Linked DNA regions of Danio rerio. The protein of the gene in region 1 purifies or fractionates together with the protein of each later gene. This does not show direct contact. Links are inferred from orthologs where the notes say so. Each region holds a gene or a part of one and is shown on either strand. Other genes may lie near its edges. The genes, in order: ndufs2 and phb.

The links.
Region 2: the proteins of ndufs2 (region 1) and phb purify together in Homo sapiens (affinity purification with mass spectrometry; 3 studies listed by BioGRID and IntAct, with this or other methods). This does not show direct contact. The link is inferred for Danio rerio from reciprocal best matches to the Homo sapiens genes NDUFS2 and PHB1.

What each region holds. Positions count from the first base shown.
Region 1 is NC_133182.1:19,055,083-19,066,561, forward strand, and holds the start of ndufs2 (NADH dehydrogenase [ubiquinone] iron-sulfur protein 2, mitochondrial), read right to left. Parts: upstream 5,541-11,479; 5' UTR 5,471-5,540; coding exon 5,370-5,470; intron 3,216-5,369; coding exon 3,112-3,215; intron 3,027-3,111; coding exon 2,836-3,026; intron 1-2,835. UniProt on the Homo sapiens protein: Core subunit of the mitochondrial membrane respiratory chain NADH dehydrogenase (Complex I) which catalyzes electron transfer from NADH through the respiratory chain, using ubiquinone as an electron acceptor. Essential for the catalytic activity of complex I.
Region 2 is NC_133178.1:14,398,088-14,409,683, forward strand, and holds the start of phb (prohibitin 1), read left to right. Parts: upstream 1-4,242; 5' UTR 4,243-4,268; intron 4,269-4,740; 5' UTR 4,741-4,758; coding exon 4,759-4,843; intron 4,844-8,395; coding exon 8,396-8,557; intron 8,558-9,218; coding exon 9,219-9,361; intron 9,362-11,596.

The DNA.
Region 1 (11,479 bases):
GATATTCCATAAATTCCTTGACCCATGGGACACTGTAGTACAGTGTTTCTCAGCCACATTCCTGGAGAACCACCAGCTCTGCACATTTACCATGACTCTCTCTCAACTACAAGAACAGAGAACGGACTCATGTTCTTATGCAGATCAGTCTTGCAAGGTCACCTTGGATGAACGAACTCAGGAGACCACGAGGACACAGAAGGCATCCTGTGAGAGAAGCTGTTGACCTTCATGCATTTATAACGAAGAACTATTCAAACATTACAGCATTCATACAATGCGTTTATGTTTTTTTCCCTTTTCAAATTTATGTATAACATGCACAAAAACCTTACAAATATACGTTGCACAATACAAATAAAACAGATTTTAATACCAATTTCAGCAAATAAACAACCTTATTGTGTTTAAGCCTCTACTATCATGTTCATGTTTACTTTCACCTTCTCATTTAGGGAAATTACTGACATAAATAAGTTATATATATCTGAACTTGATTAATAAATCTAAATAAAATGCTGCACTTCCCACTTCCTTTAACCCATCGCAATGATTTTTGGGAATTCTCTATTGAACTCAGTGCTCAAGTCTGCATCGATGTGTCCTCTATCAAGAACATATCTGGGAGCTTTCACGCGTCCTCCATACTTGCGGTCTTGAGCTTTGGAACTTAACTTTGGCTGTTGATGATGATGTTACACGAGACTACGAGGATGCAAGATCGCTGAAGAACGCATATTAAGAAACAGCCATGTGTCCTTAACCAAACACACCTGATTCAGATCATCAGCTCATTAGTAGAGACTGAGGGTGTACTCACACTATGCTATCCGAACCATGCCCAGGCCAGTTTCCCAGTTCGTTTGAGAAGTGAGAGTGCTCTGAATCGGGCTCAGGCATGATTCAGTTGGCTGGCCCTTGCCCAGTTAGAAGAGGTGTGCAAAAGTGCGGTTCACTTGAGCTATGGCGTGGTATGCTTGAAGTGTAAGGCCCCGTTTACACTAATGCGTTTTAGTTTGAAAACGCATAAGTTTTGCTACGGTTACGCCAACCGTCCACACTACGCCGGAGTTCTCGAGCGCCGAAAACGGAGCGTTTCGAAAACGCTGGAGAGGCCGTTTTCATTTTGAAACGCTGCTGCTCCGTCTCAGTGTGGATGATGGAAAACGGAGACATCTGAAAACGGAGGCGGGGCTGCAGACGTTCGCCTCTCTGATTGGGGCTTTTCCTGAATATTAAGTAGCCTAACACACAGTTCAGTCCTGAATCTTCTCCGTGTAAGTTCAGACTTCGCAAGTTTGATCAAGGCTGCAGTCTCTTCTTCTCAGTTTGATATGGAAAAGCAGACTATACCGAGGACACGGGTAAATCTTCAAAGGGAACAGTGTACTTTATAACTTCATTCACATCACCCTGGCTTCGTTGTTTCACTTTCTCAACAATAAAATGTAAACATGATTTAAGGAACTGCCTATTTTCATTTTAATATTAGCAACTTAGACAGCAGACATGTTGAGGCGCCGTGCTGTATAAGATGAGCGTCATCTTCACTGTCTGGATATTTATAACAAAACGGAGCCGATAACAACTGCCTCCTTTCAATTTCAGTGAAAATACGAAACATCCCCTCTCTTTTGCTGAGTATCAGTTTTAAGAATCGATAATGGCCATTTTAAAAGTATAACATACAATAAGTTTATACATTATAGGAAATAAAGGCAAGCGATAAGTCAATATACAGAATGTACGTGGTTACATTAATCATTAACTTATCTTTGCGCTCTGCCAAAACACGTTACCTGAGAACAAGTAATAGATTCCAATGCCCAAAGTCAGGGAATATGTCGTTAGCTAAAGACAACAAGATGAATGAAATATCCCGTTTAATAAATATAGTGAGATTAGATCCAGCGGGAGATGCTTGATGAGAAGTCCGACTAGCAGAGCTCTCATCTGGGTAGATGGGCTGCAGCGCTTGCCCGAGAGCGTCTGTGTGGTCACGTGATGTGCGTTTTCAGCGTTTTGGTGTGGACGGAGAGCAGTTCAGAAACGCTGGGTAAAACGCGAGTGTGGACGCGGATAGTTTTCATTCTAAAACGCCGTTTCAAAACTAAAACGTACTAGTGTAAACGGGGCCTAAGAGCAAATTGAGCCTGAGCCTGAAATTGAAGACAAGACGTGACTTTAATGGACTGTTTCATATCGATTTATTAATCATTCTTACTTTTCAATGAACACAAACTGCCATAGATTATTAAAGACACAAACCCCCCACTGCACGACAGCTGCACCTTTAGCAAACCTCCTAATTCCTGCAGCACAAGGACTTTATGATTATTTATGAGCGTCAAAAGTGGCGGATCTGTTCGGCAAAATATCTAACTGTGTGTCACTGCATCCCAAACGACTAAAATGATATAACTAAAGAAATCTCCACTGTGCCGAGCGACAGCGCTTCTCTTCTGTTAAACTGAACAGCGCATCATTGATGAAGTAAGCGTGCTCATGCCCAAATGCAATATGAGTGCGGGCCATCGGGGGAGACAGGAGAGGGGACAAGCGTGCTTTGGCCCGGTTTAAGGCAACTGTACATGGTGTGAGTACGCCCTAAAAGACCTGAAATGGGTGTGACAAATAAAGGTGACATCTAAAACATGCAGTGTTGGTGGTCCTCCAGCAACATGGCTTTTTGAGAAACAATGCTGTAGTAAACTTTTGTTTTATTTAATAATAACAACAAAATAATAATAATAATAATGCAAGTATAAAAAAATACAATAAAAACTAGCAAACAAAAAAGTTGCATCACATGAGATATGCTCTATTATTTTGTACCTGTAAGTAAGTCTTGTACTCTATCAATTTCTCCGTGCCGCGGTGCAGGAGGCCGATGTGAGGGTCGCATTTCTTCACAGACTCTCCGCTGAGCTCCATCACCAAGCGCAGCACTCCATGAGCTGCAGGGTGCTGAGGCCCGAAGTTGATGGTGAGGTTGGACAAATCCTTCTGTGCTGGTGGATCCTTATCTGAAATGAAAAAATAACTTTGATGTTCTTTTCTCTCCAGAATGCTTATTTAATATGGAATTTACAAGGCTAAAATCAAACCAACCATTCCAAGGTGGAGGTGTCCATTTGGCAACGGAGGGAGAGGGATACATCACCACTCCAGAGAACTGCTCCACCCACTCCACATCTGGCTGCCATTGCTTCTGCCTGAATTGAAAGAGAGTTGTTTTAAGTTTATTCACTTTTCTACAATTATTAAAATATTTTAACAATACTAAGTCATCAACAGCAATAAACAATACACAAGATAAAATACATTAATAATAATATATAAGATTAAAATCTAAAACAGATTGTTTACTCTTGATGAATTGTAAACATTTGGAAATTTAAAAATATTTCATTTAAAGTCTAAGCAGATAAAAATCAATGTCTAATAACATTAAAATAGTGCAGTTTTTATTGCCTTTGCTACTTTATTAGCAAGGAAAAGAATATTACTTGAGTGGAAATCTAAAAAACCCAACTAATGCTTCAATGTGAATGTGTGATCTGTTTTTATATTTAAAATGAGAGAAAATTAAATAACTAATGAAGGGAATTTTATGAGATATGGCAACCTATGATCACATACTTTGAAAAAAAAAGAAGACTCTCTCCTTTAACTGATCTATATAAAGAAATTTGTATTAAACAGGTTTAAATGTGATCACAAATATTATTTGACTCCAACCGCATGTAGAAGACCACCATAAACGTCATATTGTTTATTTGTATTATCATGTAGGTATTAATTTATCTGAATTATTTTTACAATTGATATTGTCTATCTAACTGCAAATGTAAACAATACTGCAAAGGTTTTTTTTCTTTTCTCTGTGTTTTAATTTTATTTTTATTTGAATTTAACTTGTTTGTTAATTTATTTCGTCGACAAGGGTTATCATGGAAAAAAAATACAACCTTGATTGTACAAAATGTTTTGGTAAAACTTAGGAAGAAAAAAAACAAATAAAAATAGATAGATTAAAATTAATTTTAAGCATCTTCTTTAAAAAACGTGTCCAAATACTTCTATATTACTTGTTGGAAAATAGTGCTTGTGCTGTCTTACAACTGTACAAATATAAGTGCATTTGCATTGGATGAACAATTCTTAAATCAAGTGTTTTTGTTTTACATTTTCACATTTACATTTTTTCATTAAAGTAAACTAAAAACTTTTAATGTATTTTTTAAATCCAACAAACAAAAAAAGGTCATTAAAATTAAATAATAAAAACACTTTTAGGGAGCACAATACATCAATACCATCTCTAAATGTCCATTTTTTTTGAGCAGACAATGATCTGTATATACAACTTAGTTCATACTGACCTCCATTACTAATTTATTTTATTTCATCATTGCCATACATTCTAATTACAATGGGGGAAAAAAGAATGTTCTAAATCTATATAAATTACTTCTAAATTATATTCTAAAAAAGAAACGTTCCTTTGATTTCCATGATGAATGACTTAAAACATTTGAATCTACTTGGGAAGCAAAATTATTAAAAATATATGTATTTTGAAACGATATGAGAATCGAGAATATAATTGAGGTAAAGTTGTTTTTTTTAATCACACATTCGGACTCTATATTGTTTACCTCAGTACTTTTGAATAAACAGTCTGAAATCATATGCAAGTATGACTTTGATACAACATTAGCACTATTTAATAGACTGTAAACACTGTTGTCCTTTGATAGTTATGGACTGCTAATATGATTTCTCTATTTAGACTTGACAATAGTTTTTTGAAGTTATAGTATTGAATATTATTGTATATGTGAATATAAAACCAAATGTACCTTAATAAGAAGATATACACTTTATATCCATAATGAAATCAATAAAACCCTCTTGCTTTGAAAACTTCAACTAAGACTTTTGTGTCGCTATTTTTGTGGGTCATTTTACCTACAAATATTGGTGAAGATTGCAAATTGCAAAACATAAAAAAAAACAATTGTGCCATTAAGAAAACCTCAGAGTCATGATTTATCAGAGATATCAAATGTGATTATTTTGTAACTGCTCATGTTTCATAACGGCTAACGTTAGCTTCAAGCTTGTTTTTTCCCACAGCTGAACGCAAGAATGGCAAAAGGGAAAACGACGTTTAATAATAATAGAATAATACGTATGTAAACAGGTCAAGTTTGCAATATTGCACATTAGCATGCTTTTCAAAACAATCTAAGTCGCAGAAATACCGGTGGCTAAACCATAACAACAACATCACCACAAGCAAGCCGCTGCTTCACCAAACCAATGGTAAAATTGCAGTGTGTTATTGACCGTGCTGTTCGTACCTCGTCTGAATCAGAGCACAGGCTGGAGAGCTGACATTACTGTTTAATAAAACTGAAGGACGTCCGAGTCTAGAGAGCGACCTCAGCATTGTAGCCGCCATCTTCCCTTCTGTCAGCGCTCTGCTTCTGTGCTGAGAGCTTCACGGCCGCTCTTTCACTGGGGCTCTGGCGTCACCCGCCGGCAGGAGGTTTACACCGCAGCTTCCAATCCAAGACTCATCCAAGAGCCACTAGATGTCAGTCGACTCTCGAGTTTGTTTTTAAGTTAGGAATGCCTGGTGCAGTTGATGAAGCGAATTTTTAAACTTCACATTGGCGAATATTTCTAAAAAATCAAATAATTTGACAAAACATGGAGCTAGCTCAATCACATTAATATTTTTTATTATTATTGCTGGAGACTAAGAGTGATGGGGTTTCTTCTGGATCCTAGACTTTATACATCCAAAATGTCATCACTAAAGGTATGTTTGAGCAGCACCCTGTACTTTACTGATGGGAATTTTTCATCATTCAACCAAAGGTATATACATTTTATATTCATATTATATAATATCTGTGTGGGCTGTACAGAAGCCCAGTGGTTAGCACTGTCACCTCACAGCAAGGAGGTCGCTGGTATGAGTCCCGGCTGGGGGGTTGGCATTTCTGTGTGGAGTTTGCATGTTTTCCCCGTGTTTGTATGTGTTTCCTCCGGGTGCTCCGGTTTACCCCTACAGCCCAAAGACGTGCGGTGTAATAATAATAATAATAATAATAATAATAATAATTAACAATTCCTTACATTTTTATAGCGCTTTTCTGGACACTCAAAGCACTTTACACAATGGGGGAATCTCCTCATCCACCTCCAGTGTGCAGCATCCACCTGGATGATGCGACATCAGCAATGTTGCGCCAGACCGCACCAGCTGATTGGTGGAGAGGAGACAGAGTGATGAAGCCAATTATAGTATGGGGATGATTAGGAGGCCATGATAGACACAGGCCAGTGGGGAAATTTGGCCAGGATGCTGGGGTTAAACCCCTACTTTTTATCGAAGGACATCCTGGGATTTTTAACAGATTTCCACGTCTTCCAGGTTTAATGTCTCATCCGAAAAACAGTGCTCACTGAGCAGCAAAGAGTCTCCATCAATATACTGGGGTTTTAGGACCCAGACAGACCGCAGGTTGAGCACCTCCTGCTGGCCTCACAAACACCAATTTCGGTTTTTCAGATTTTTTAAACTATCTAACAAGCAAACTAACTAACTAGCTAGCTAACTAACTAAATAACTAACTAACTAACTAACTAACTAACTACAATCATGGACCCAAGATACTCACAGAAATCAGTCCAGTTTGGTGAAGGAAAAATCACGGTTTGGGAAACAGAAAACTAACACATTCAGTATGGGGGCATGCGAGAGATCTGCAGAGTGGATGGCAACATCATCAGCCTGAGCTATCAAGACATTTGAGCTGCCCATTACATTACAAACCACAGGAGAGGGCTAATTCTTCAGCAGGATAGCGCTCCTTCTCATACTTCAGCTTTCACGTCAAAGTTCCTGAAAGCAAAGAAAGTCAAGGTGCTCCAGGATTGGCCTGCCCAGTCACCAGACATGAACATTATTGAGCATGTCTGGGGTAAGATGGAGGCATTGAAGATGAATCCACAGAATCTTGGTGAACTCTGTGAGTCCTGCAAGAACGCTTCCTTTGTCATTCCAGATGACTTTATTAATAAGTTATTTGAGTCATTGCAGAGATGTATGGATGCAGTCCTCCAAGCTCATGGGAGTCATACACAATATTCATTCTTTATCCACTGCACCATGATGTTATATTCTATACTGTACATTATTTTTTTTTGTCTAAGCAAAGTCAGACCTTACCGTCCTAATTAAAGAATTAAAAATCAAGGCATGATTATATTTTATTTTGATAAAATAAGCGTAATCTAGAGGCCTTTGCCTTTCAATTAAGCCACTTCTGATACCAAATGATCAACTAGAAGTCAAGTTATTATTTGCTTGAATACTCGACTTTTAAAACTTTTATCAGGTAGTGTACATGCAAAGTATCAGTCACACATTCAATACGTCACTGATTCTTAGAAAAACAGTGCTTTTATTTCTGATATACTGTGAAAAAATAATTACGTAACATTTTTAAAAAATATTGGAAAAAAATCAATGAGAAATAAAAAAAAAGTCAATAACTTTTTTGTTGTACATCTGTCAAACATTGTTTTTTCAGCTACCAAGAAACAGTACAGTAAGGTCAACGTTTATCTTCTAAGACACAATTATACAGGATACACTCCTACCAGCAGAAGAAAAAGTATTGGAGCAGGAACGTGAGAGAAGTAAATGAACGGATTACATAAAGATTTTCATATCCTCACACTCACGCTCAGTCGCACGCACAAAAACACAAGCATACCGTTGTCTACACACACTCCTCTGGCCTTAAGCCGCTTTATAAAGTGAGGGAATATAAAAGTCATGTTTTCCTAAGGCCACTCTTTAGTTTGTTCACTCCTTCATATGTTCCTTCTTCTTGACTTTGTGGAGCTTCAAGTTCGTAGACGGCAAAAGGGGAATGCAAATACTGTCCAACAAAATGGTCCCCCGCCATCGAGATAAAGGATGAGTGATTGGCAGCTCAAGTAGGTCATCAAGGTGTTTTCCCGAACGCTTTTAATAGCATCGTACCAGCTCGTACTCTTCGTAAGTACTGTACCATCGCTTACTTTCTTCACGCAATTGAAAAACAGAACAATACTGCATTTAAAGAGTGCATCACATTGGATGTTGTAAAATAATACTTGAAGTCGGAATTACACATGGGAAAGTATTTACAGGGCTCGTTGGAAATGTGGACGAAGACCAAAACGAGTGTCTCGCTGTTCCGAGGGATTGTCTTCATCCTCAGGTTTCTCATTGCTTTGATAACGCCATCCTTCAAACCCCGTTGAAGACAGTTTGTTTGCTTTTGTCTCAAAGCCAAAGACCGTTTCTGGTCTCCGAAAGGTAGTTTTTTTTTTTTTTTTTTCAAAATTGGTGTAAAATACTTCAAGTTAGTCGTCTGTGTTTGGCACAAATATCAGGTGTGTGTCTGTGTGAATAAGTGAGTGAAAGACTCTCCGATCTCCAACTACACATCAAAGTCCGTAATAGTGTTTTCGAGATGTTTATAAAACCACTTCAGACCTTAAAGAAATAGCTCATCTAAAATTCTCATTTTGATTTACTCACCTGTAGGACAAGTAAGATGTAGGTGCCCTTTTTTTTTAGTAGAATATTAAAGAAGAGTTTTAAGGCTGATTTATATTTCTGCGTGAAGCGCACGTGTATGCTCGGACATGGCCTTCAATGCGGTCGGATACCCCTCGCCGTGGCTCACGCTGATGCACACCTCTCAAAAGTTGAACTACATGTCGTATTGACGTGTAGCGCAAACTCTATGATTGGTCGGTTTGGTTGCTGTGATGAGTGTGGGCGGTGCTAAGAGCCGCGAACCCGATGGAGCGAGTGCTTACAAGTGGCAAGTCCCGTGAAGGAGCTCCAGATGGAAACTGTTGTTTTATGTTTACCTAATGATTAAAGTTGTTGCATGTCCACTGGCTCCCGCCTCTAAATGAGCACGTTTTAGCTACTTGTAGCGTTCAGGAAAAGCAAAACCCCCGTGAAGAAACTCGACACAGACGAACATAAACACCTACTGCCAGCTAGCATTTTGTAAGTGCTTTTGCAGAGTAACACAAACAGCACGCAGAAGTATAACTGCGACTAGGCACAAGGCAGGCACCGTGGGTCACGATGATCACTTGATGCAGAAGTATAAATCAGCCTTCAGCTGAAACTGTGGTCTTTAAGGCTGGTTTATATTTTTCTGCGTCAAGTGATCGTCGTGACCCACGGTGCCTGCCTTGCGTCTAGTTGTGCGTTTATACTTCTGCGTGCTGTTTGTGGTACTCTGCAATAGCACTTACAAAATGCTAGCTGGCAGTAGGTGTTTATGTTTGTCTTTGTCGAGTTTTTTCATGGGGGTTTTGCTTTTTATGAACACTACAAGTAGCTAAAACGTGCTCATTTAGAGGCGGGAGCCAGTGGACAAGCAACAACTTTAATAAAACAACAACAGTTTCCATTAGGATCTCCTTCACAGGACAAAACACTTGTAAACACTCGCTCCAACGGGTTCACGCAACTCTCGGCCCCGCCCACACTGGTCACAGCTACCAAGCTGACCAATCACAGAGCTTGCGCTATGCGACCGCGCAAAGGCTGCACCAAACCATACGTGTTCGCTTGATGCAGAGGTATAAATCAGTGTTTAGTGATTCATATAATGGAAGTCAATGTCTGTTAACACTTTTAGAATAAAATAAAAACATATACAAGATTTTAAAAAAAAAGTCTGTAATGAAGACTTCCTGTTACATAATGAAGTATAATGCGTTTTGGGTGTTTGTAAAGTCAATGTTTTCCAATGAGATTGCACATTGGAATAAAATATTCCCAGAAGGGACCTTGATGTCAAAATGACATGTAAAACATATCAAAAAACACATTAAAAATGAAAATGGAATTGATGTCAAGTGACTACCTTGATGTGAAAATGACATCAAATTCACATCTAACATTTGCGCTAAAAAACATGTCAAAAATCAGTTACAGGACTGCCTTGTTTTTGACCTGTTTTTGATGCCAATATTTATAAATGTCAATTTGATGTCATTTTAATATCAAGGTAGCTTACAGTACATGCATTTTAGAGATATACCAGTGAAAATTAAAAAAAAAAATTGAAGCTTTCAGATGAATAAATCTTTTCTCATAATGCCTTTTTGCTTCATTTCTTAGGTGGTCAATAGGGTATCAATGTGTGGATGTCAAATAGACGTCAAGGTTTTAACATCAAATGATTCGAATTTTCCTAAATATTTTTTTGACATCATGCTTGATTTCAATTTCATATCATTTTGACATCAGGGTGCCCGCTGGGTTACTTTTTATTTAAGTCTGCAACATACAAGATAAGCAAAAGTTCAGTTTTGATGCACAACACAACTAGAGTCCTCTGAGTTGGGGCCCAGTGCATCACTTATTAAATATTCACTCAAAATTTGGCAAGTTATTCTTTAACTGGATTCTATACGAGTTTTCCATAAGGAGGAAATTATAGGGCCCTACACAACATAATTGTGCATTACTTAACAAACAGCATGTACTCAGAGGTTTTACTCTTGCACAGGTAGATCATTTCGCTTCTCAAAGAGTTACCTCACCCAAAATAAAAATTACCTCATCATTTACTCTCCCTCATGTGGACACAAACAAGACATCTTGAAGAATCCTGGTGCCTGGCATGCATTGACTTCCATAGTAGGAAATAACATATATTATGGAAGTCAGTGGGTGCCAGCTACAGTATCAGCATTCTTCAAAATAGCTCCTTGTATTCACCAGAAGAAACTAACTCAAATAGGTGAATAAAAGATGAGATTTACCATTTTTGGGTTAACTATTTCTTTAAGACCCTGCAGCTCTCGTAATGATGCGAGGTTATGCTGTGATCCTAATTTGAGTTTTTTCTTCCAGCTGAACTGGGCGAGTTGTGTGGCGTTGGATGGGGGGGGGGGGGGGCATAATTCGGGCAGTTTTTTTGTGACACGCAGCGAGCTATTTGCCCGATAGTAGAAAAGCAATGTGATTTCGGCTTTATTCCTCAAGCTCCCAGGGTACTGGCCCAGCCTGATGAAAGCCCTGGCTCGCACTGGCCTGACAATGCGACTAAGGTATCAGCAGAAGCCGTGGGTAATAATTCTAGGTAGCCTGTATGTCTATTTTTGACTCTAAATGTGCCAGTAGCTGTAGACTTGTATTTGAATCACCAAGAAGCAGTTTTGGCGAAAATACTACAGAAGAAACAAGTCACCTACATCTTCAAAGACCAGCAGGTGAATAAATAAACAGAAAATCTTCATTTTTGGAGAGCTATTCCTTTAAATGAGTTCCAATTTGATCTCTGTAATCTTTAAGACGAATGTGATAGCAGCCTGATCTTAGATCAGTAAGGGTGAGTTTGGATACCTAAGGCTGGATCAGTTTGAGACC
Region 2 (11,596 bases), on another chromosome or scaffold:
AAATAAAGTGATGCAATGTTATCTAATGGCTCATTAAAGAAGGGTAATCTCATGATAAATATTTTAGACTCTTTATGCATTATAATGGACATCACTGCTTTATTTTTATGAAAAAAAAATATATAGACTACCGCTCAAAAGTTTGGGGTTATTATTCTGTTCATCAATTCTTATTATTAAAATTATTCTGTTCGTCAAGGTGGCATTTATTAAATGTAAAAAATTGTTTAAAATTAATGACAATTTTAAATAACAATATAATTTTAAATAATATAGTTATTACTCCAGTCATTATTGATTTTATTACTATTAGCATTAATAATAATAATAATAATTATTATTATTTTTATTTTTTATTTTTTTTATTAGAGTGATTTTTACTTTCAGTCTCTGAAGACTGCAGAAATGAAGCTGAAAATTCATCTTAAAAATAACTTTAAACTAAATTATAAACTACTTTTGAACAGTAATTTTACAGTGCAATAACATTCACAATTTTACAATTTGAACTGTATTTTGATTAAATAAATGCAGCCTTGGTGGGCAGGATAAGCTTATTTTAAAACATTTAAAAATCCTGCTGACCCCAAACTTTTGACCCGTAGTGTATCTTATTATTCATGTCAATTGGCGGAGCCCTAATCTTTTTGCATTAGATATAACAAGATCAATCTACCACTTAACTAATTTAGGAAAATCTATTCTATTGAAATTTAGAAAGAAATATATATATATATATATATATATATATATATATATATATATATATATATGACGGTTCATTCCACTGTGGCGACCCCTGATTAATAAAGGTACGAAGCCGAAAAGAAAATGAATGAATGAATGAATGAATGAATATATATCAGGGTTTCTGCAGGTTTCTTTAAGTCAAATTAAAGACTTAAGGAACTTTTAGACCATTATGAATGTAATTTTTGACTTATACAGGGCTAAACACTAAGGATTTGGCCCAGTTACTTCAGTAAATAGTTTTTATATTAATGGAAGATTATGTTAAGGGATATGTTGCTTTAGTACTCTTTCCCTGCTTAAGGAATTCAATTAGGAGAATTTGCTGTAAACATGTCTAACAGCTGTTGTGACTTGTATATCTTAAATAAAAACAAGTATAGCTTTAAGATGGATTGTCAGTGATTGATTCGCTGTACTTGGACATACAGTAGGAAAATTAAGACATGATTAACATAATTTAAGACCTACAACACAATATTAAGGTCAATGTAAGACTTTTTAAGGCCTAAAGTTAGTTTTTGAGAGTTAAGACATTTTAAGACCTTGTGGACACCCTGATATATATATATATATATATATATATATATATATATATATATATATATATATATATATATATATATACAGAATAAATTAGTTAATTAATTTATTTAAAAGTCTACTGTATACCACTGAGACATTTTAATGGCATTTACCAAATGCATTTACCATCTTAAGACAGTATCTGACAAAAATGACCAAATAAACATAACAACAATGTGTTTAATTAACTATTAACTATGGCTACATTTGGGAAAAGCATCAACGTATCTTCATTTCTGTAAGACCTGGTATATTTAGTGTATGGTATGTAAAGCTGCATGTTAGAAGTTCAATCTCTCAGCAACACCCATAAAAACAAACATCAATCAATTGATTAAATCTTCCGTGCGCTGTGACGTCAGTGGCCAGGTGAACCAATCGTAAAACACGATAGTGAACGGCGATGAACGCGGAAATCCAAGAATTGCCTTTTCACGATCTGTTGTAAATACAGGAACACCACGATACAGCCTAAATAAATAACAGCCTGAGGTAACCGGGGCAGAACAGTAAAGCGCTTCAATTACTGAGGAGCTGTTTATTTGATTTGATTGTGATGAAGATCACAATCATGCTGTACGACATTTTATTCGGAGAATGAATCCTGAACTAATGTCATTTAGTAATTCGTTTGTTTACTTTTGCTATAAAGTTTCATTCGCGCATCATCATCATCATCATCATCATCATGACTCATTCGCAGACATTCACAGCTAGCTAACTATAGTTGTCCTAAAATAGCTCAAAGTTATAACGTGATCCGACAAATGCCAAATAAACAAATAATCGAGACTTACCGATTCAGAAGAATGCGTCCTTAAAACTGCGGGCTTGTGTCCGTCAGTTTACAGACAGCTGCACTGCATAAAGCCTGCGCACTGCGTTATAATAACTCGCTTCTGGTGGGTGTGTCGTCCTGGAAAAGAGGAGGAGGGTGTAGATGTCTGGTTGAAGAAGGACTTTCCGTAATCACTGCATCACATGCCTTACTGTAGTAGGGGGTGTACAGTCATATTCTGGATAATAGCATGTCTACATGTTGCCTTGTTTTGAAGTAGCATTATAATTTAAAGGGGTCGTTCACCATGTTCAGATAGGCTACTTGGTTCACCTACATACCATGTTCAACTTGTATACACTGTATTACAGTGGCTTTTACCACAATTAGAAGTAACTTGATGGCTTTGATGCATTACAATCAAAATCAGAAAAGTTTATTAAGTGCGCTAACTTTATTAGTTACTAATAACTTTAACTTTTAGAGATATTACTTAATTAAAGTTATTATATATAAAGATAGTTAATCTGCGGTTAATTAGCACAGGCCTACACTACCTCACAAAAGTCTTGTCATTGATCCCAGTTGTAAAAGCAACAAATAATTTATTTAGTTGACTTTTAGTAGATCATTTGGAAAAGTGTCAGAAGGTAGTTTTTCAGATGAATCATCTGTTGAGCTGCATCCCAATCATCACAAACACTGCAGAAGACCTACTGGAACCCACAAAGACCCACGATTCTCACAGAAATCAGTCAAGTTTGGTTAAGAAAAAATCATGGTTTGGTTACATTCAGTGTGGAGGCATGCAAGAGATGGATGGCAACATCAACAACCTGAGGTATCAAGACATTTGTGCTGCTCGTTACATTACCAACCACAGGAGAAGGCAAATTGTTCAACAGGATAGCGCTCCTTCTCATACTTCAGCCTCCACATCAAAGATCCTGAAAGCAAAGAAGGTCAAGGTGCTCCTGGAATGGCCAGCCCAGCCACCAGAGATGAACATTATTGAGCATGTCTGGGGTAATATGGAGGAGGAGGCATTGAAGATGAATCCAAAGAGTCTTGATATGCTTGATGATCTTGGGGTATTAGTGCTATATAAATAAACGTCCTTTTCTGTTTTCATACAGCATGTGGTACACTAGTAGTAAAGCCTCTGTACAGGAATTGCAGTAGAAAAATGTAGCAATTTTATACCACTCTCACTTTCAACAGCAATGAAATAAAAATAATAATAAAAGCTCACTGCACGGTGGCGCAGTGGGTAGCACATTTGCCTCACAGCAAGAAGGTTGCTGGTTCGAGCCTTGGCTGGGTCAGTTGGCGTTTCTGTGTGGAGTTTGCATGTTCTCCCCGTGTTGTTGTGGGTTTCTCCTTGGTGGTCCAGTTTCTCCCAAAAACATGTGGTATAGGTGAATGAGTATGTATGGGTGTTTCCCAGTGATGGATTGCAGCTGGAAGGGCATCCACTGTGTAAAACATATGCTGGATAAGTTGGCGGTTCATTCTGTTGTGGCAACCCTTAAAGGGACTAAGCTAAAGAAAATAAATGAATGTGTTTCGTTCTTTGAACACAAAATAAGTTATTTTGAAAAATGTTGGAAACTGGTAACCATTGACTTCCATACTATTGGTTTTTCCTATGGAAGTCAATGGTTACAGGTGTTAAACGATGTTGAAAACATATTTTCAGTATTTGAACGTGGTTGGACTATAGCTTTAAGCAGTCGAAAGAACGCCCACATGACAAGTTTGTAGCAATATTTGTTTACAATACGCAATATGAATTACATTGTCAATAAAAAAATATAAGAGAGAGAAAGACAGAAGAAAAAATGAATAAAGAACATGATATAAACTTGAGCATAAGACATTTAAGTATCAATAACAGTACATAAATTAAAGTCATTACAAAATGAAATAAGGAACGCCCACATATTGCATTGCAGTGAACCCACCTCGTTCTAAAGCAACGTGAGATGTACGCCAATAATAATCCTCCTTACTCAAGAGGGCGTTCGGTTTGTGTCTCTCTATCCAATCGGAGAAACTCATGTTGACACTGTTCTGCGCATGCGCAAGCTCCACCTGCTCATGTGTTTCTTGCGCAGGCTCCGGTGGAGGTCACTGTGATCATTCAGCGCAGCGGGTAAGTGCTCACGTTTTAGGAGACTTACATTTAAATGCGAACTTAAAGCTTTTGTTTTACTCACAAAGCATCGGTAATTATAACGCGACAGTATGAAAGTGAAATAAACACGACGTGTGGGTGTTTGTTGGCGTTATTGCATGACAGTTGCATCATTAGCGTGTAGCAGGCTAATAAATGAGTGAAGTTCACTACTGCGGATTGTATTAATGCCTGTTAATCTGTGTCACATGTGTTATTGTAATAGCAATTGTTTTTAAGTGGTGTATATATGTGTATATTGTGCAGTTTTACTTGTGATTTTTCCAGTGACCGGTTAGAGTGAGATCAGATTAGCACGTTACATTGATGTCAGTGTCACTGTCAGAGTCAAGGCTAAACCGGCTAGCATTGGTTTGATTACCCAAGGGCTCTATATGCACAAGAGATCACCCATGATGAGATACTGAAGATGAATGTGTTTTCCCCGCAGGACTGTCACTTTGTTGTCATGGCGAAGCTCTTTGAGTCCATTGGGAAGCTGGGATTGGCCTTGGCCATTGGAGGAGGTGTTGTTAACTCTGCTCTGTACAATGGTGAGTTGTAATAACTACTGATGTGTTTTGTAAAACAATGGCAGCAATGGTTAAAGCATTTAATTCCTATAAGTATTCTAATAAGGTCAATTTAAAGGGCTTACACGCAACAAATTAAATTTGTTGTTAATTTTATCCACATTGAGGCTGTCGATAGGTCATAGGAATGCACAATATTGCAACTTTATATTGCTATATTTAGAGTTCCCATGGGTCTTGGAATTTTTGTGAATATCATGAGTTTTAAAGGGGGTCATTTGTGCATATATCAGTTTTCTAAGTGGTTTAAATGCAGTTGTGTGGCAACCGTGTGTGAATATAACCAGCTTGTAATGGTAAAACAATAGTTTTATTATAGTTATTTATTATATTATATTATTATCCAATAGTTTTATTAATAGTATTATAATCAGACTTGATAAACAGTCTGCATGAACACCTTGATTGACATTGTACCTGTCATCAGAGGGGGAAAGCCCGTCCATTAGTGACGATCTCTGCCTCATTAGCATAAACAGCCCTGAGTGAGAAGCAGCCATTCGCCATTAAGTCGCCCTTCCACTGCACACGACAAGCGAAAGACTGGAAGACGTTGAATTTCCAATGGAGAGTAGTCCGGGAGCTGCGTAGAGTTCAGATTCTCTCCGTATGTGGAAAATTTGGATCCGATATGAGCTGCAGAGCTGCTGTTGGAAATATTTGAACTCCTGCGACTACACCGTATACGACCGACCGCATGTGATGTAGTTCAGTGTTGTCCAGGCAGGTCTGTGCGTGCGAGATGAGAAATAGGATTTTTTTTTTTCTTAAATCAGAAAAAAGTCTATATTAAAAAATGTTTTGTTCATAAATGAGTCATAAAAATACTTTTTTTTGTTTGTTTCCACATTCCCGCCAACATTTTTAGCGGTCTGAGTTTCTAGTGTTGATTCATTCATTCAACCATGGTGGACACCCAGAGAGTAAAGGCTCTTGCTTTTGCACTCTTTTATTACTGACGCTGTGAGAACATCTTCTCTCCCATGGTGCACGACAAAACTGAAAGTTCTGTGCGACTGCCACAAGGGGGAGTATTCCGACAGTCGTGTTCAAATGTGATGTGCAGTGGAAAGGCGGCTTTAGAGTGTTCACCTGCTGAAGATAATGACACTGACTATAAGGCACTATTAATGTGAAGTTTTAGATGCGCAAATGAACACTGTAGTCTCCATAGACTGCCTTCTTTTGAGACGTTTCTTTCACATTTTCAGTTTTCACAGAGATCTCCTTAAGTACTGTTAATGAATCTGCCACTATGCTGACGCATTGACATTTATAGCTCCACCTGCCTTTGCACAGAGCAAAAGCTAGTTTACATTTCAAGCGGCAGTCACAAAGAAGCGGCGTAATTTGGACCAAAGCCTAAAAGGGGCAGTTTCAAAATGGTTATAAAGCAATATTTATTTTTCATCCTGCAAAAAAGGATCTTAATAGTTCATTTTTAAAATGTTTATTTCAGATATTTAAAGTCATGGAAATTTTTTTGTCCAAGTCGAGGAACATCTAGATTTTGCTTGTCAATTTTTATTTTACTTTTCATTCATCAAATTACATTTATCGAATTGCACTTTATGTAGCCCGTGTGTGTGTGTGTGTGTGTGTGTGTGTGTGTGTGTGTGTGTCTGTGTGTGTCTGTGTGTGTGTCTGTGTGTGTCTGTGTGTGTGTCTGTGTGTGTGTCTGTGTGTCTGTGTGTCTGTGTGTCTGTGTGTCTGTGTGTCTGTGTGTCTGTGTGTGTGTGTGTGTGTGTGTCTGTCTGTCTGTGTGTCTGTCTGTCTGTGTGTCTGTCTGTGTGTGTGTCTGTGTGTGTGTGTGTCTGTGTGTGTCTGTGTGTCTGTGTGTGTGACTGAGAACTCTAAATCATGCTGTTTTTTGTTTTTTTTTAGCAGGTGTGCTTGTGTGGCCGTTTTATTTTTATTTTTATTTTATTGTTCATTTCATAAAGCACAACATTTCTCTATGAGTTCTCTGCCCGCTGCTATGTTGTTTGTGTGTTTCTACAGTAAATGCACAGGGACTTCAAAATGAACTTTTGGTGCTTAACACCTTTTTATTGGTCTTTTTATTTTTCTGCTCTTTCAAAAATAAGGTCCAGGATTTAGATTAAAAGTTACTTGTAAATATTTTCTCTATTTAACAACAGTACAGTAGGTCAGTAGTGAAAGATGGCTTCACTTGCGTCAGATTTTGCTTGGTCTTAAAGCTTTCTTAGATGGGTTATTTCACAATTTATAATGGCATAGCAGACAAAATAGGACAAATGAGCTCATGTATGGGGAAAGAAATTCTGGAGCTTTGTCAGTGGGGTGAGTCATAGAGGAGCGTTGCATGTTTGAAACCTGACTTTCATTCAACTAAATCAGGGGTCAGCAACCCGCGGCTCTAGAGCCACATGCGGCTCTTTAGCGATGCCCTTGTGGCTCCCTTAAGTTTTTTCAAAAGTGTTCAAAAAGATGGGGAAGGTTAGTATATATTTTTGTTTTAATATGATTTCTATTGGAGGACAAACATTTTTAACGTTTTCAAATGCTGTAAAAGTGTGTAGAATTAATATTTAATTTCAACATTTCTGTCAACGAAGATTTGCGTCATAGCCTGCGACACAGGTTTCTATCAGCAGGGCAAGATGCCGGGCAGGTGGCTGTTGTAAACAAACCGGGAGATAATAAAGCATGGAAAACCGTTCACAGATGGTGACTACATAAAGGAGTCATTCATCAACATATTAGAACACCTATTTGCAGATTTCAAAAACAAAACCCAGATAATACAAAAAAATTAAAGATATACCGCTCTCTCCGCTAAGACAGTGAAGGAAAGGGCTATTAAAATGGCAGGTAACATCACCGATCAGCAAACCAAGGACATTAATTCAGTGCCCGCATACTCAATTGCCTGTGATGTGACCGATATTCAATGCGCTTTTATGCATGAACTCTGATGGGCCGCAAGAAGAAATGATCAAATTAATATCACTGAAAGACCAGAGGCTGTGCTGAAGTGTTTAAATGACAACGAAATAAACACCAACCACCTGATTTCAGTGGCTATTTAATCATGAAGGCTCATTATGTATTTGTAACCAACTTACTCATTTTTATAGTAAGCTAATATAGCTACTATAGATACAGCATGTGTTTCCTTCATTATAAGGCTTATATAAGGCTTTACATTTTTTGCGGCTCCAAACATATTTGTTTTTTGTTTTTTTTGGTCCAATATGGCTCTTTCAACATTTTGGGTTGCCGACCCCTGAACTAAATGGTTGTTAACAACACATTTGAGTTAACAGATAAAATTGACTTATTGTCCCGCTATTGTTGCGAGTTCCTGCTGCTTTCTTCAGTATATCCTCCTCAAACGGTCTTGCAACAGCTGTATTGTAGATAAATAAATGATGGTTGAATTTTTTTATTACGGGTAACTTACCTTTTATGTAACTGAAATGTGTTATTTATGGCCGAACTGCAAATGTGTGTAGTATCAGTTGTTCAGACCTGTGTTTCACATTGCAGTGGATGCGGGACACAGGGCCGTCATCTTTGACAGGTTTCGAGGTGTTCAGGATGTTGTTGTTGGGGAAGGCACACACTTCCTTATACCCTGGGTGCAGAAGCCAATCATCTTCGACTGCAGGTCTCGACCACGCAACGTACCCGTCATTACCGGTAGCAAAGGTGCGTCAAACTGCTCAGCTCTTCACTTCAATCCTCTTTTTCTGATTGCTCTTATGTTTGTCTATTGCTTTATCCTAAATCACCCCTTAAGCACTATTCCCTACATCTGTCCACTAATATAGTCCACTTGTTTGTGCTTTGCTGGTTGGTAAATCCCTCAGATGGATTAGTCTTTAAACTTCTTGTTCTGGCCCTGTGATAACACTTAGTTCTTTAACACTTAGCCTATTAGTAATGAGACAGAGTATTTTAATTTCTGTCAAGTATATAATCGTTATTTTAATTAAGTAATATTAGAATTTGAAACCTACATCCATTCCACTGTGGAGGCCATGTTGTGGTCAGACATGGAAATTCATTTGGCTCTCATGGTGCATTTTGGGTATTTTCTAGCTGTTGAGTGTACATGGGTTGTAGACTTGTTATTGTGGTGCATTGTGGGATTGATATGGTGCACTTCAGAACATTTTTCTATGGTTTTGGGCACCACTAGAAATGGCTGCTCCCTTAAACAGCGCACTATAAGGGTATATTTCAGATACAGCCAATATCTGTTTGTCAGTATGATGATTGTTATTTTTCAAATGTTTAGTCTGTTTTCATTAACCTTTACTAATCAAACATTGGAAACTGGCTTATGGTTTGTCGTTGTCTTTGACAGATTTGCAGAATGTGAACATCACACTGAGGATCCTGTTCAGACCGGTTGCAGGACAGCTGCCGCGCATTTTCACCAGTATCGGAGAGGACTATGATGAGAGAGTTCTGCCCTCCATCACCACTGAAGTGCTGAAGTCTGTAGTGGTGGGTACCGGCAACAGATTTTAAAAGAAAGGGGGGATTTTATTCATTAAAGATGTATAGAAATTAATCGAGAGTCAAAAGATTAATAATTTTAAAGAATAAAATGAATAAAAATAAAATCATCTTATAAAACCATATAAATAGATTTTCTGTTCATCAAAGAAGACTTTAATATCATATCACAGCTTCCACAAAATATTAAGGAGCGTAACTGTTGATGTGTGTTGACAATCAGCATATTTAAATGATCCCTGCAGGATTGCATGAGACAGAAGTGTGGAGTTATTTTTTATAAATTCAACTTCATCCATAAAATATATAAATTAATATATTAACTAATATGATTTAAAGTTTAATGTAATACATAGGAAAACATCACATATTTTACAATATTATTATTTTTTCTTTATTCTTGATCAAATAGATGCAGTTTTTTTCATACATTTTTCCATTTAGATCTGGCATAATGCGATTATTATTTTTTTTTAATTATTATTATTATTTTTATTATTATTAATTTTTATTTAAGACATGTTGTTTAACATGTTTTGTTTAAATGTTTACGCTTTTCATTTGTGTGTGTTTGTCATTTTTAACCCAGGGACTTTAGCTGTCAAAGTCTTTTATAATTATCAAATAAGTTATGTCACTTTGTAGACAAACTGTTGCATTACAGCATGATTTTTTTTTTACTTTTTTTTTTTGTTGTAATAAAAATGTTTAACTGCAGTAATACAAATTGTAAAAATGTCGTTCAGCAGTAGCGTTCAAAATTAAAAAATTTTTAATATCCACTATGAAATAAGACATTTCTAACCTGATTTTGTATGGTTTTAATTGACTATATGAAGTTATCACTGTTGTATAAAATAAAGTGGTTTCCGCTTTCTGCTTTAAAAACAAAAAAAAAAAGATTTTTTTTGTTTTATTTTAGTTTTCAAAAATTGAGCTGAAAATCATATCTAATTATTTTTTATATAAATTGTGATTTTTAATTATTTTTAACATTTATTTAATATCAACACTTTTTGAAGAATGAAGTTGTTATTGAAGTTATTGTTATGTAGTATGTATTTTATCTCTTGATTTTGCCATGAAATAGCCATAAGTTGCTGATGTGCCAATAAACAAACAAATCTTGCATTGTTTGACTTAACCCTTGTGTACTGTCTGTTTAAATTGACTACCCTTCCGTTATGTTGGTGGCTGTTTTTGCCCCATTGACTTCCCTTATAATGAAGTTTTGATTTTTGATTGACTATGTTAGACCACCATCTCCACACCAGATAAATACGATCCAGCCCCAGACACCAGATCTTGTCAACTAATGTTAGTTTCTCCATGTATATGGACAACAAGTCAACAGAAATTCCATTACCCAAACCTGTTAACCAGTATTTAACTGAATTAACAGTCTCCTATCCATATAGGAGTTGACTGATAAAACCAGAGAGGAGCAGAAGCAGGAGACGAAGTAATGATGATAAAGAAAGAGCAGAGTTTATTGAATAATCTTAGTTGTGTATGATTCAATGCTCAGACTCTGACCAGGATAAATCCAACAAGTGTTATTATACCACAAGCAACAGCAATGAAAAGTTACTGCTTTACAACATTGTCCAGAGACAATACAGACCTTGAAATAGAAAACTTCACTTACTCATGAAAACAAGTGTCGCTTAAATCCATACAGTCATAAGATTATAACAATATGAAAAAATGGAAATTATAATGATGCAATAGTTATAGGAAAATGGCAATAATAAAATATTAAAACATAATAAAATGACAAATAATAATCAATAATAATAATCAAATCATTAACTAATGATCAATAAAATTATATAATCATAATTATGAATGACTAATGATCATATGCTTTAAATAAAATAATTAAATGAAGAATAAATGAATGCATAAAAGCAAATTAAAATAAAACACAACACAAATGAATGGTTGTTTTCTTGAAACGACTCGCATAAGTTTGCTACAAGGATTCTTAGATCCTAAGTTAAATTCTTTAACTACAACTGATGATCAACAGTCAAAAGTTTAAAATTGTACCTTTTCCCAATAGGGAAAACCAGCAACAAGCAAAGATGCCTGATTATATGCTGTCATCATGGCTTTGCAATCAAATAATGTCATTATAATGAAAGTCAATGGGGCAAAAACAGCCACAAACATAATGAGAGGGTAGTCAATTTGCCCAGAGCGTATTTTTGAAAACTTTCA